Cricetulus griseus: one gene and its partner. The protein of the gene in region 2 interacts with the protein of the main gene of each other region in a biochemical or structural test. Links are inferred from orthologs where the notes say so. Each region holds a gene or a part of one and is shown on either strand. Other genes may lie near its edges.

The links.
Region 1: the proteins of Cav1 (region 2) and Ptgs2 form a complex in vitro, tested with the Homo sapiens proteins (2 studies listed by BioGRID). The link is inferred for Cricetulus griseus from reciprocal best matches to the Homo sapiens genes CAV1 and PTGS2.

The regions. Positions count from the first base shown.
Region 1 is NC_048598.1:41,413,557-41,419,204, reverse strand, and holds the start of Ptgs2 (prostaglandin G/H synthase 2), read left to right. Parts: upstream 1-1,985; coding exon 1,986-2,037; intron 2,038-2,808; coding exon 2,809-2,925; intron 2,926-3,047; coding exon 3,048-3,191; intron 3,192-3,730; coding exon 3,731-3,874; intron 3,875-4,397; coding exon 4,398-4,579; intron 4,580-5,510; coding exon 5,511-5,594; intron 5,595-5,648. UniProt on the Homo sapiens protein: Dual cyclooxygenase and peroxidase in the biosynthesis pathway of prostanoids, a class of C20 oxylipins mainly derived from arachidonate ((5Z,8Z,11Z,14Z)-eicosatetraenoate, AA, C20:4(n-6)), with a particular role in the inflammatory response.
Region 2 is NW_023276806.1:209,232,837-209,238,724, forward strand, and holds the start of Cav1 (caveolin-1), read right to left. Parts: upstream 3,740-5,888; 5' UTR 3,631-3,739; coding exon 3,601-3,630; intron 3,085-3,600; exon of another isoform or gene 2,954-3,084; intron 2,209-2,953; coding exon 2,044-2,208; intron 1-2,043. UniProt on the Homo sapiens protein: May act as a scaffolding protein within caveolar membranes. Forms a stable heterooligomeric complex with CAV2 that targets to lipid rafts and drives caveolae formation. Mediates the recruitment of CAVIN proteins (CAVIN1/2/3/4) to the caveolae.

The sequences.
Region 1 (5,648 bases), on a different chromosome or scaffold from region 2:
ACTGGCTACCCTGAAACTTGCTCTGTAGACCAGGCAGGCCTCAGGATCATCCTCACTGTGGCTCCTGAGTGCTGGGAATAAAGGCCAGCACCACCGTGCACTGCTTTTTCCCATGTCATAATCTTCTTAAGAGCATCAGAATATACTTCTCTACATAGCAGCTATACAACTAACATCAGAAGAGGATGGGATTGTTCGAAATCATTTCAAGATTACACTGTGAGATTTGACTACACTGTCAAGAGTTAGAATTGAACTCGGTAGTTCTAATAAACTTAGCTTTAGCACATGCAATCCACTCAAAAGAAAACAGAAACCAAGAACTACTTAAAGGAACTACCTAAAATGAAAATGATCTGTGCATTTAGTTGAAATTTCACACAGGAATCGGTGTAAAAGGTTGGGAGTGCCAGAAATGGAGTGATTAAACATGACTAGAACAAAGGGCTGGATGAGATGGAATTTTAGTCACTATGTCTCATGTAGAATCAAATTAGCACACACATGAAGCAAATAGTTGAAAAAAATTCCATGAGTATTTTTAATTTCTCCAAGACTTCCTCAGATTGAGATATTTGGTATAGTTTTCTAATTGTTGTTTTCGTGGGTTTTTCCCTCATTGCTTTTCCTTTCTCTCTATAAATTTTTGTTTGGTTTGTTTGAGCCTAGGTCTTGTGTTGCCCAGTCTGCCTCAAACCATTTTCCTGAGGAAATAGTTTAATTTCAGACTCCATCCATGCTAAGAACAACAAAATTTTAATTGATTTCTTTAGTTTCCTAACTTCCTTATTTTTGCTTGTTTTTCACTATTCCATCCTCATATATCCTTTCCTGGCCACCACCAAACAGCAGAATGACATTCAAAACTGTCAAAAATCACCTTTCTATGCAATTAATTTCTTAACAATGTTTCAGAATGAATTGGGGTTTGAAGGTTAGCCAGAATAAGGCCAGTTATAGAAACATAGGTATTATCTTTTGACCCATGGCCATAACACACCTTCTTGGAAAAAAAAAAAAATGTGGACAGAAAAAGTCAAAAAAGTACATGTTTAAAAAAAAGAAGAAGAAAGAAAGAATTCCTTTTTAGTGATATATCCTGTAAAAAGAGTTGTTGATCGAAATAATAAAAGCACAGCAGCAGGGAGAGGAAAAAATACCTTATAGCAATGCCGTGGGCACTTAGCATTCCTATGAAGTGAAGCTCAGACTCTGTCCCTTGGAAACACCGGTGCTATGGGCGGGCTACGACCTAGGAGCCTGGGTGCTGTTCTGTGACAGACTTCACCCTACCCCCACCAGTACGGTGTGACCCTGACAGCAGACCCCTCACTTCATCAAAAATAGAATAAATTAAATAAATAAATAAAAAAAAAAAAAACGGTGGCTGTGTGTGCGCTCTGGGCAGCACGCACGTCAGACCGCCCCAGCGGGGGGCGGCGCGGGGATTCCCTGCGTTCCCACTTCGGATCTGGGAGAGGAACGTGACATCCCAGCGCTCCTTGGTCCCCGCCAGGAGCACTGGATGCGGGACAGGGAGGAAGCCGGGGACCCCAAAGAGAGTGAGCGTGGGCGCGGGCACAGGAACCGCTCGGGGCGCCAGGAGGGATGCGGGAGGGCGGCGCAGTTCTCTTGGCACCACCTGGGGCAGCCGAGGGCAGCTTCCCGGCTTCCCTCGTCTCCGTTTGCGTGGGTAAGAGCCCTGCCCCCACCCGCCTTGCGCAACTCTCCGAAGCGGAGGGGGTGGGGAAAGGCTATTGGGGGTAGGGGAAAGACTGGGCGGAAAGAACCAGTCACCGCAGCGTCACGTGGGGGAGGGGGGCCACTTTTTCAGGCATAAAAGCAAGGTTCTCCCCGTTAGCAGCCAGTTGTCAAACTGCGAGCGGAGAGCTCCAGGAGTGTCAGAAGACTGCCCACGAAGGAACTCAGCGCTGCGTCCCGCCAGCTCAACCACCTCCGCCACCACCGCCGCCGCCACCTCCGAGATGCTCTTCCGAGCTGTGCTGCTCTGTGCCGCTCTGGCGCTCACCCATGCAGGTAAGTGGCCCCGCACCCAAAGGTGCTGAAGGACTTCCAGCGCAGACCTCCTTTTTCTAGTGCGGGGACTGCGCAGTGGCAAACAGCCTGGACCACTTGGGTCAGGAGGAACGCAAGGATGGCTTGCTTTTGTCACTGGCTCTCAGGTTATGGGCCAATTACTTAGGGGAGCAGAGAGCTACTCTCATTTGCTTTAAAAAGCCAATAGCCAATAGTTTTCGGGTTGTCTTCATGGTAAGATATGATCTATACATGTGAATTGCAGGTGTGGGGCGACTGATTAGAAATGACTACTCTAAATACCCGCCAGTGCTTTTCTGCCCCCAAGAAAATCCAGAATACATTTTTAAAAAGATATTCAAAACGTTAAAAGTAAACTGTTTGACTTTGGTTTTCTTCACACTAAATTTTGACTAATGTACTAGATCGATCCATTTTAATTTCGAAAGTGCTACTTAACCGTTCTAATCTGAACATTTAAGAAGTTATTGTGAAAATGTTAATAATGTGAGCTATGATGTTAGGTCCTCTGCTTCTCTTGCTTAGAAAAAAGAAACTGCTAAGTCTATATTACAGCCATTTGATAAGACAGACTTAATTAAAATAGTCTCTCCCCCCAACTCCCCCTCCCGACTACCTGTGTATTTCTAACTTACCATTGTAAACTTGACCTATAGTAACACAATTAAATCTTTAAGTTAAGATGAGGATGACCAAGAGTGACTTACAGGCTGTCTTATTTTTATTCTTATGTTTTTTTTCTTAATGTAGCAAATCCTTGCTGTTCCAACCCCTGTCAAAACCGAGGTGAATGTATGAGCATAGGATTTGACCAGTATAAATGTGATTGTACCCGGACAGGATTCTACGGGGAAAACTGCACTATACGTAAGTTTCTCCTGGGGTTTCCTCCTTTGGAATGGGGCCACATGCAGTTACCATCATTTTGTACATTAGTGCCATGTGGGAAGTGTCTACTAATTTCTCCCTCCTGCTCTTTCTCTCTCCAGCTGAGTTTCTGACGAGGATTAAGTTGCTGCTGAAGCCCACCCCAAACACAGTACACTACATCCTGACACACTTCAAGGGAGTCTGGAACATTGTCAATAACATTCCCTTCCTTCGAAGTTCAATCATGAGATATGTGTTGACATGTAAGTACAAACCTCCCTTGCTTCTAGCATTCTCTGGCAAAAATATGCACTAGAAACCCAACACAAAGAAATATTCCCAACCTTTTCAAAATGGCTTGATATATACCTTTTCAACCCTCCATACTCCCCTTCCAAATGCCCACAACACTGACAAGTGATCCTGTAGCCAGGAAATGAACCCAACCTTCATTCCTGTGGAGGAAATATGCTTGTCTTGTTTGTTGAGTACCTATGGCTCCCAGAATTGTTCTGAACATGCAGCACCCTTTAAAGCAAATGGTTGAATGCCCAGCTGCTTCAGTCATTGGGATACAGGAACAGGGAGTAGGTGGTACCTGAAAACTCAAAGACTACTGGAGCATAAGGTCCTGTGTAAGGCTTGAGCTTATTGAAGACACATTTTCAGTTGCCTTTTAAAGCAGGGTATCTTTGTCTGAATTAAAGCCCATCTCTGTGCCTTCTATGTCGTACAATGATAAATAACATTCACTTGTTCTTTTCATATCAGGGACAATAAATTTTTTTCTTTAAAATTCCAGCCAGATCACATTTGATTGACAGTCCACCAACTTACAATGTGCACTATGGTTATAAAAGCTGGGAAGCCTTCTCCAATCTCTCCTACTATACCAGAGCCCTTCCTCCTGTGGCTGATGACTGCCCGACTCCCATGGGTGTGAAAGGTGAGTGGGAAGAAATAGAGCTGTAACAATTGCAGTGATGGTTGGGTGTGCACTTAGAAAGGGCACCTTAGTTTTTCATTCATTTAAAACTGTAACTTATATGGCTATCCACAGAGGATTTTTAAAGTGCCTATTCCATAAAAGTAAATCTTCACTTTGATATAATGTCTTATCATTATTATGTTGTGCTAAATAGAATTGGCATTGGTTAAAATAGGTAAAACTGTTCAATAAGTTGTTCCCCCAAAATTCTTGTACTCTTGGCAAGGTAACTCATTGCCTGTAATCTCAGCATTAGATGGACTTCAGGCAAAGGTTCATCAGTAAGCTCCAGGCCAACCTGGCATAGAGAGGGAGTTTGAGTCAGCATGGGGTATAAGCATAAGACTGTGCATCAAAGCAAAACAACTCCATTGGTGAGACTATGTTTAGAAGTGACGAATGCTCTCATGAATTAGACAGCCATCTGTTTGCTTCAACAAATATGTGAATGGGTTTTTACTTTTGAGTTTTTATGTTTCAGGAAATAAGGAGCTTCCTGATTCAAAAGAAGTTCTGGAAAAAGTTCTTCTAAGGAGAAAGTTCATCCCTGATCCCCAAGGCTCAAATATGATGTTTGCATTCTTTGCCCAGCACTTCACTCATCAGTTTTTCAAGACAGATCAGAAACGAGGACCTGGCTTCACCCGAGGACTGGGCCATGGGGTAAGACAGGCTTAACTCAGAATTAACGAAAATCCTTAGGAAAAGCTGACATCTTGCCATGCCAAACAAATCACACCCATTTTTTTATACAAATGTCATGTCTACTAAAGCCATAATAGAGTGTTCCATTTTCATTCACTAGTTGAGTAAAAATAAACAGACATACACAGAGATATTTTAATGTAAGCTATCCTTACATATTTAGTTTAAAATTTTGATCTACAAAAAATGCTACATCTTCTAAAACTTAATTAATTAATTATTGGTAACACTGGGAAGTGGCCTTAGGACTTGGTGATTGTTAAGCACTGTGCTCTATCATTGAGGTAGAGGCCCAACCCTCCAAAAAATAGCTGCACCCTGACTATGCTGCTTAAAATAATATAAAAATAACTATCATGGTTATAATGAGGCATGTACTGTATTTAATATAAAGTACTAATACCATTCAACATAAAGAGACTTACAGGAGTGAGTTGAGGGGAGACGGGGGGGGGGGTAGGAAAAGAGAATGGGAGGAGAGGAGGGAGGGATGTAAAATAAACTAATAAAAAAAGAGGAGTACAGGCTTGTAGCGCTGGAAGACATTATTTTAGTATTTTGTGACTATGAAGAAGTCATTTGTTGGACTTGATAACTCAGTGTTTAAGAACACTTAGCGCTTTTGCTGAGGAGCCAGCTTAAGTTCCCAACACCCACTTGGTAGTTAAACCATCTATCTCTAGAACCATCAGTTCTAGGGGATTTAATGCCTCCTTCTGACCTGGTTGGGCGCCTGGCATATACCTGATGTATATACATACATATAGGCAAGCACTCATACATATAAAAATAATCACTTGTTGAATTTTAAAGAAAGCTAAGTCATCAAAATTTAATAACAAATGATAGTAAGGCATCAATAAATTGAAATTTCTCCATAATTTTCTAGGTGGATTTAAACCACATTTACGGTGAAACTCTAGACAGGCAACATAAACTGCGCCTTTTCAAGGATGGAAAATTGAAATATCAGGTATTTTCCTTGCATTTTTAGGAATTGTCACCTGCCATTTACATTTACATTTTG
Region 2 (5,888 bases):
CAGAGCACACAGCCTTTGGAGGCTTGCCACGCCTCCATACTTGATGTGTAGGCCTGAAAGGATGTGGACAATGAACCGTGCTGTTCTTCATACTTTAAATTTGGGCCTCGTTTCTTCTCTACATAGAGGGTTTGTTTAGTTGTGTTTTTCATCTTGATATGAAGGTATTTGTGAAGAGCCGGGGACTCTCTTGCCAGACACTGTCCAGCAGAGAGTTCTAGGATGGTGGAAATTTTCTAGGTACTAGTGCAGGAGAGGGGAGGAGCAGACTGTGCAGGGGCAGCCTGGGTCTCTCTTCGCAGAGGGAGTGTTTTCTGAAGACATCCTCCTAGGCGGGGCTTCTGCCTAAATCCTGTCACATTCTTTTCTCAAGGTGGGTTTTTCTTGTCTGCTGGATTTGCTCCTGGTTCTGTGAGCAAGTAGGTAGGCACTAATGTAACTCCTCTAATTTCTCTAGTTTGAGGTTTCCCCACACTTGCCCTTGAAATGGTATTTTGTAAACTGCTATTTCCTCCGAGCCTGCCATGCCTTTTTTTCCATCTGTGTTGAAGTCTTTTTCCCAGTGGGGCCTGCTTTCTCCACTTAGTCATGCTGTGTGGAGGCCCACATCCACACTGCTGGCCTCTCTGACTCATCCCAGGAGGCCGGTCTGCTCCAGGGAATCCTGCTCCGAGAACAGGGCAACAAACAGGGAGCTGATCTGAGATCCTGGAATCTGCTTTTATCCTTTGAGTCCCCCTCCTTGACCAAAGCAGGCAGCACAAGAAGGTTGAGAAGCAAAATGTCTTTTCCCCTTTAGGGAAGTGTGGCTAACAAACAGATTTTAGCAAGCTTAACTTCCAGTTTATGGGATGCCTTCATCTCTAGTTTTAAGTATTCCACAATCTGGCCAGGAGAAAGCAGTCAATTTTCCTTTTCTCTCTACCAGCAAAACAAGAGAGTGAATTTTCACAGGTACACTTTCCCTCCAGTTGTAGATTAAACCATTTCCCTTTCTAAAATATATTATTCATAAAGGTGAAACTGCACTGGAGCTCCTCCCATCCATAGATAGGAGTCTGTGGGTGGAAACTCCATGAGCTCCTCAGTGGTGCCTGCATTAGCGGCTGGGCAGGACAGGGGCTTCCTTCCCACTGGAACCCCGAGGCCAGGATTTTCCTTGGCCCTCCAGGCCACTCAGAGGAAATCCTCTGCCAAGGACAGCTCAAGTCCAGTATTTCTCAACCCACACGGACTCAGACAATAAATTCCTTGAGCTAGAATTGCTAAAAGGGTCAAAGTTGAATAACAAAATGATAATGAAAATCAGACCACTGTGTCAAGTCTACATTCGGCCAACAACCCAGGAAAGTAATGTATTTTAAACCCCAGCAAGTATATCCTCAAAGTGTAAAATGGAACGCCAACCTGAATGTTCTGCTAGCCCAGGGCAGGCTGACCTTGGCTGTCACCACAGATGCATCTTTCCACATCTAACTAGAGGGATCCAGAAGTTAAGAGGTGGAAATTATTTTCAGTTTGGTAAATTGGCTTAGCCTTGTACATGTGCTGTGTTTTTATAGTTAAAACCCTATTCATATATATGTATATTATATATATGCAATTGCATACAAAATATATACATATAAGATAGTTTTAAGCATTTCCACTCATTTATTATTTTTAATCTAATCACTTTAGATTGCTTTAGCTGAAGGAATATGCTTATACTGTATTCTGACCTTCACCGTGGTGCACACTATTATTTACCTGTCACTGGACTATTAACCTGGCAATGGACCACAGTCATCTTCTTTTCCCAAGTAATGTGGGGGCCCACCTGTGGCTGAGGTTCTGTGAACTCCCACAAGGCTCACTTTAGCTAAATTTCTGTTCAACTAGCTAGTAGGAGGAGGCAAGGCAGATGAGACCTTTCTGACAAGGGACCAGGGGTTCACATACAGCCAAGCCTAGGAAACAGTGCCAGTGTGACAAAGCTATGAAAGGACGCCCAATTACTTGAGAGAGAAGGGTTGTGGGACCCAGACAGCCACCATGGCTTACCTTGACCACGTCATCGTTGAGATGCTTGGGGTCCCGGTTGACCAGGTCAATCTCCTTGGTGTGCGCGTCGTACACTTGCTTCTCATTCACCTCGTCTGCCATGGCCTTGTTGTTGGGCTTGTAGATGTTGCCCTGTTCCCGGATGGGAACGGTGTAGAGATGTCCCTGTGAAGGCAGCCGGCCAAGCCAGGGGAGGATGGCAAAGGCAGTGGGAAAAAAGTTCAGAAAGAAAAACAAGCGTCAGAAGTCAGCCTGTTGTCGGGGGAGCCTGGAGCTCCAAGTCTCGGCTAACTTCAACCCTGAAGGCTTTGCGCACAGAAAACTCCAGTGCCGCAAGCTTTTTAAGAGGACGGAGGGAAGGACACCACACCCCTCGGTACCAGGCAGGGAGCGCCTGCCTCCCTCGCCGGCCGCCAGGGGTCAGGGCGAAGCCCCATGCTCGCCCTCCTGCTCCCTGCAGCTCCTGGCAGCGACTCCCCAGCCCAGGGGGTTCGCGTTCCTCCTGCTCTGTACCCCTTCTCTCCTCCAGGCCACCCGCGTCCCCAGAGCCTCACCTGCTCCACTGACCCGTCCTGACCCTGTTAATCCTGTTCCCGATCCCTTCCACCGTTATCTTTAAGATCCCACTGGACCATACAGACAGGGGCTGGTCCCATCTTCTCTGTCTCTCCCTGCGTCTTCCTCCGCACCTGCCGCGTCCCCTACCCTTTAGCTCCTTTTGCTTCACGGCTTTCCCTAGGCCGTGGGGGTGGATGAGGTGCGTGGATAGCTATCATACTTTCATCTCTGAGCCGAGGCATATGCCCGACCCCTCAAAATGTTCTGGAAGACATCTCACCTGAAGGACTCCCTGACCCACCCTTACTTAGATCACCCCCAGGCTGTCTGCCCGAGGCTGAACGGTAGTCACCTTTGGGAACCGAGGTCTCCACCTTTATGCTATCTGAGTGCCAAGAAGTAGTTGCCAATGGTGGTGGTACTTGTTGAGGAAGGAGGGTCCCCCACCTCGGAACCCCCCATCCCGGCCGCCGCCCAGGGGCAGAAATTATAGAAGTGCTCTAGAACTTTGCTCAAAGTGCAACACGCGCGCGCCACCGCCCAGGCCAGCCACTTTAGGCTCCTGATGGGGACTGTCCTTAGAACTGTGGCCAAATGACGCCACCCCAACACACACACACACACACACACACACACACACACACACACACACACTGCACCAGCTCTCAGCCTCCCAGTAAGTAGGGGCTTGTCCGGGGTGGGGGGGGTCTTAACGGTGCCATCTGAAAAACTTTTCTAAGTCCGGCCGACTACCAACGCGGCACCCCGACCCTCCTTTGCCCGGTGGGCTCCATTGGTCGCCTCTCCAAAAGGAAGCCTTAAAACACCCCTGGCTTTTCTTCAGCTCCCCACCCAGGTCCATTCCTCAGCGGTGCCAGCACGAGGGGAGTGCTGTGAAGGTGGAGAGAGGGCTGGGGCCAGGAAAGCAGCCCGAGCATTTGGAGTGGGAGATAGCAAAAGCAGGCACTTTAGAGCCGGCGCGCCCTCACCCAAGCCTACCTCGGAGTCTACGTATTTGCCCCCAGACATGCTGGCGCGTGGCTGGCTGCAGGCTCTGAGGAGGTTTCCCTGGGCTGTGATTTAAGAGAACTGAGGAAGGAAGATCTTGTATTGTATAGGGGGGAAAAGGCGCTGGCGCGGGGGCGGGGGGGCGGTGGCTGGGAGGGAGCCTCTTGGCTGTCCGCCAGTGGTTTGTTCTTCTCTCAGTTGGCTGGGACGTGCTCTGCGCCGGGTCTAGGCACATCCCCAAGGTTCTGGCAACAGAGGGCGGGGAGCGCCCGCGGGGAGCTGAGAGCCTGTGAGAAAGCCTTCATCAGCGCTAGGCTGTTTGGGCAGATATTTTAGACCCGGGGCAACGTTTTCCCAGCTATAAACCAACAGAGAGGCATCCCTGGGAGAGCGAATGTTTTCCCAGTGCATCATCTCAGCAGGGGTGGAGGGAGCATAAGAGTCTGCAAAGATGCCCAGTATGGGCATCCGGCGCGGCAGGAGGAATTCTGCCCTGTCCTAAGCTGCTTCCCAACTTCGCCCACATTCCATTATCTCCCAGGACTGGGCTGTCTCTGACTGGGAACCCGAAGGAGCACTTTACATATAAACACAAGGAAGGAATCTGTGTGGGTGCCGGTAAAGTCATTATCAATCTCTACAAAAAAGAAAATGAAATTTCTATCAACAGGTTGTGCCGTAATCATAAGTACTTTGAACATTTTCAACTGTAGAAAATTTTAGTTAGAGGTTCAGGTTCGTTACCAGAGTGGGTTTTTCTTGCTGGCTTGAGATCAAATCCGGGCATTGGGCATTCTGCCTGGAGGTAAACACTCTACTACTAAACTACATCCTCAGTTCTAAAGGACGCCTGCCCAGAAAGATATGCTTAACTGTGAGAGGAGATGGGTTTTGACAAAATGACTAGACTTTTTTTTAAGTTAACAACTAATAGATCAGTTTCAAAATCTGCCAACCTCCTGTATTTTATTGTAAAGAAAAATCAAACAGACGATAGTTGCTTCTTGCTAAAGAATTGAGTAACTAACACAAGGCAGCAGGTATGAAATTCACACGCCATAAACTGAGAAGGATGTTTTTTACCTAAGCATCCATACACAAACCCTTGCATAGCACACTGGAAAGGGCAGAAGATAAATTTAAAAAATGGCTACCAGGAGGCAGGAACATGGGATCGGGGGAAGATGAAGAGGAAACACGTGTCTGAGGATAGAGAATGACACCCCAAAACACCTGATCATCTGGCTGGAAAGAAGACATGGAAAGAGCAATGACATCAGCAGATTGGGCCCTTGCTGATGGGGACAAAAGGCAATCCAGTTTTTGAATTAACTATTTTGACTAGCATGTGATGACCATATGCTAATGATGTGATATTTCAATGCTTGCATGTATTATACTGATCAAATAAGGGTGATTAGTCATACGTTGTAAAAATAAAAGGATCAATTTTAACTAGGGACAGCAAGTGTGATAAACATCACTTATGCTAGCTATTATTCACCATGAGATTAAAGATCTTCCAAAAGGCAAATTTCCTTGGTTTTATGTCTGCTAAATTACCTTTTCTAAAGTCTTTCATCAACCTGTGTGCCAACGCGCATGATAGACCACCAGAAAAAGGATGCTCTTTGATTCCAAGTATCCTGCATTGGCCACTTGAGATGATCTCTTGGAGTGCGCTTTCTCTACTAACTACATTTCCTTTCATCGATCGATATCTGCTGCAAGGCAATTCTGGGTCTGTTCTAGGGGAAATGTGGTAACTGGTTCCCACCTAGTATTACTCAGTTTTCAATTGCTGATGAGTAATTCTGACTGTGAAGAAGTCAACAGGAATGGGGAGAGCTTGTCTTGCATTCCAGGCAGGAAGGGAAACCTCAGGAGAGGTCCTCCAGTGAATGCCTAAGTCATCCTCAGCAGAGGGAAAGAGGGAAAGCCACCTCACGGGCAAACCCGTAAGCAACAACGATGCTTGGCATCATAACGACCAGTGAAGCGTTGTCAATGCCAAGATGAATTCCTAATGAATGGAAAAACCACAAACTGTTTAAGTAACCTGCCTCAACAAGAAGCAGGCACCAAAGACAAGCAGCTGTTATGCTGGTTGTTATAGCTGGCTGGGAGCAGCAACTCCCAATCCCATGAGAAGTCAAGGTGCAGGACTCACCGATTTAGGTACAAGATTTTGGTGAGTAGGCAACGTAAACAATTCTTTCCTTTGATAGCCACACAGATAACTTTAGGCTTGAAGGCAAGTTAATAACTTTCTCTAAATC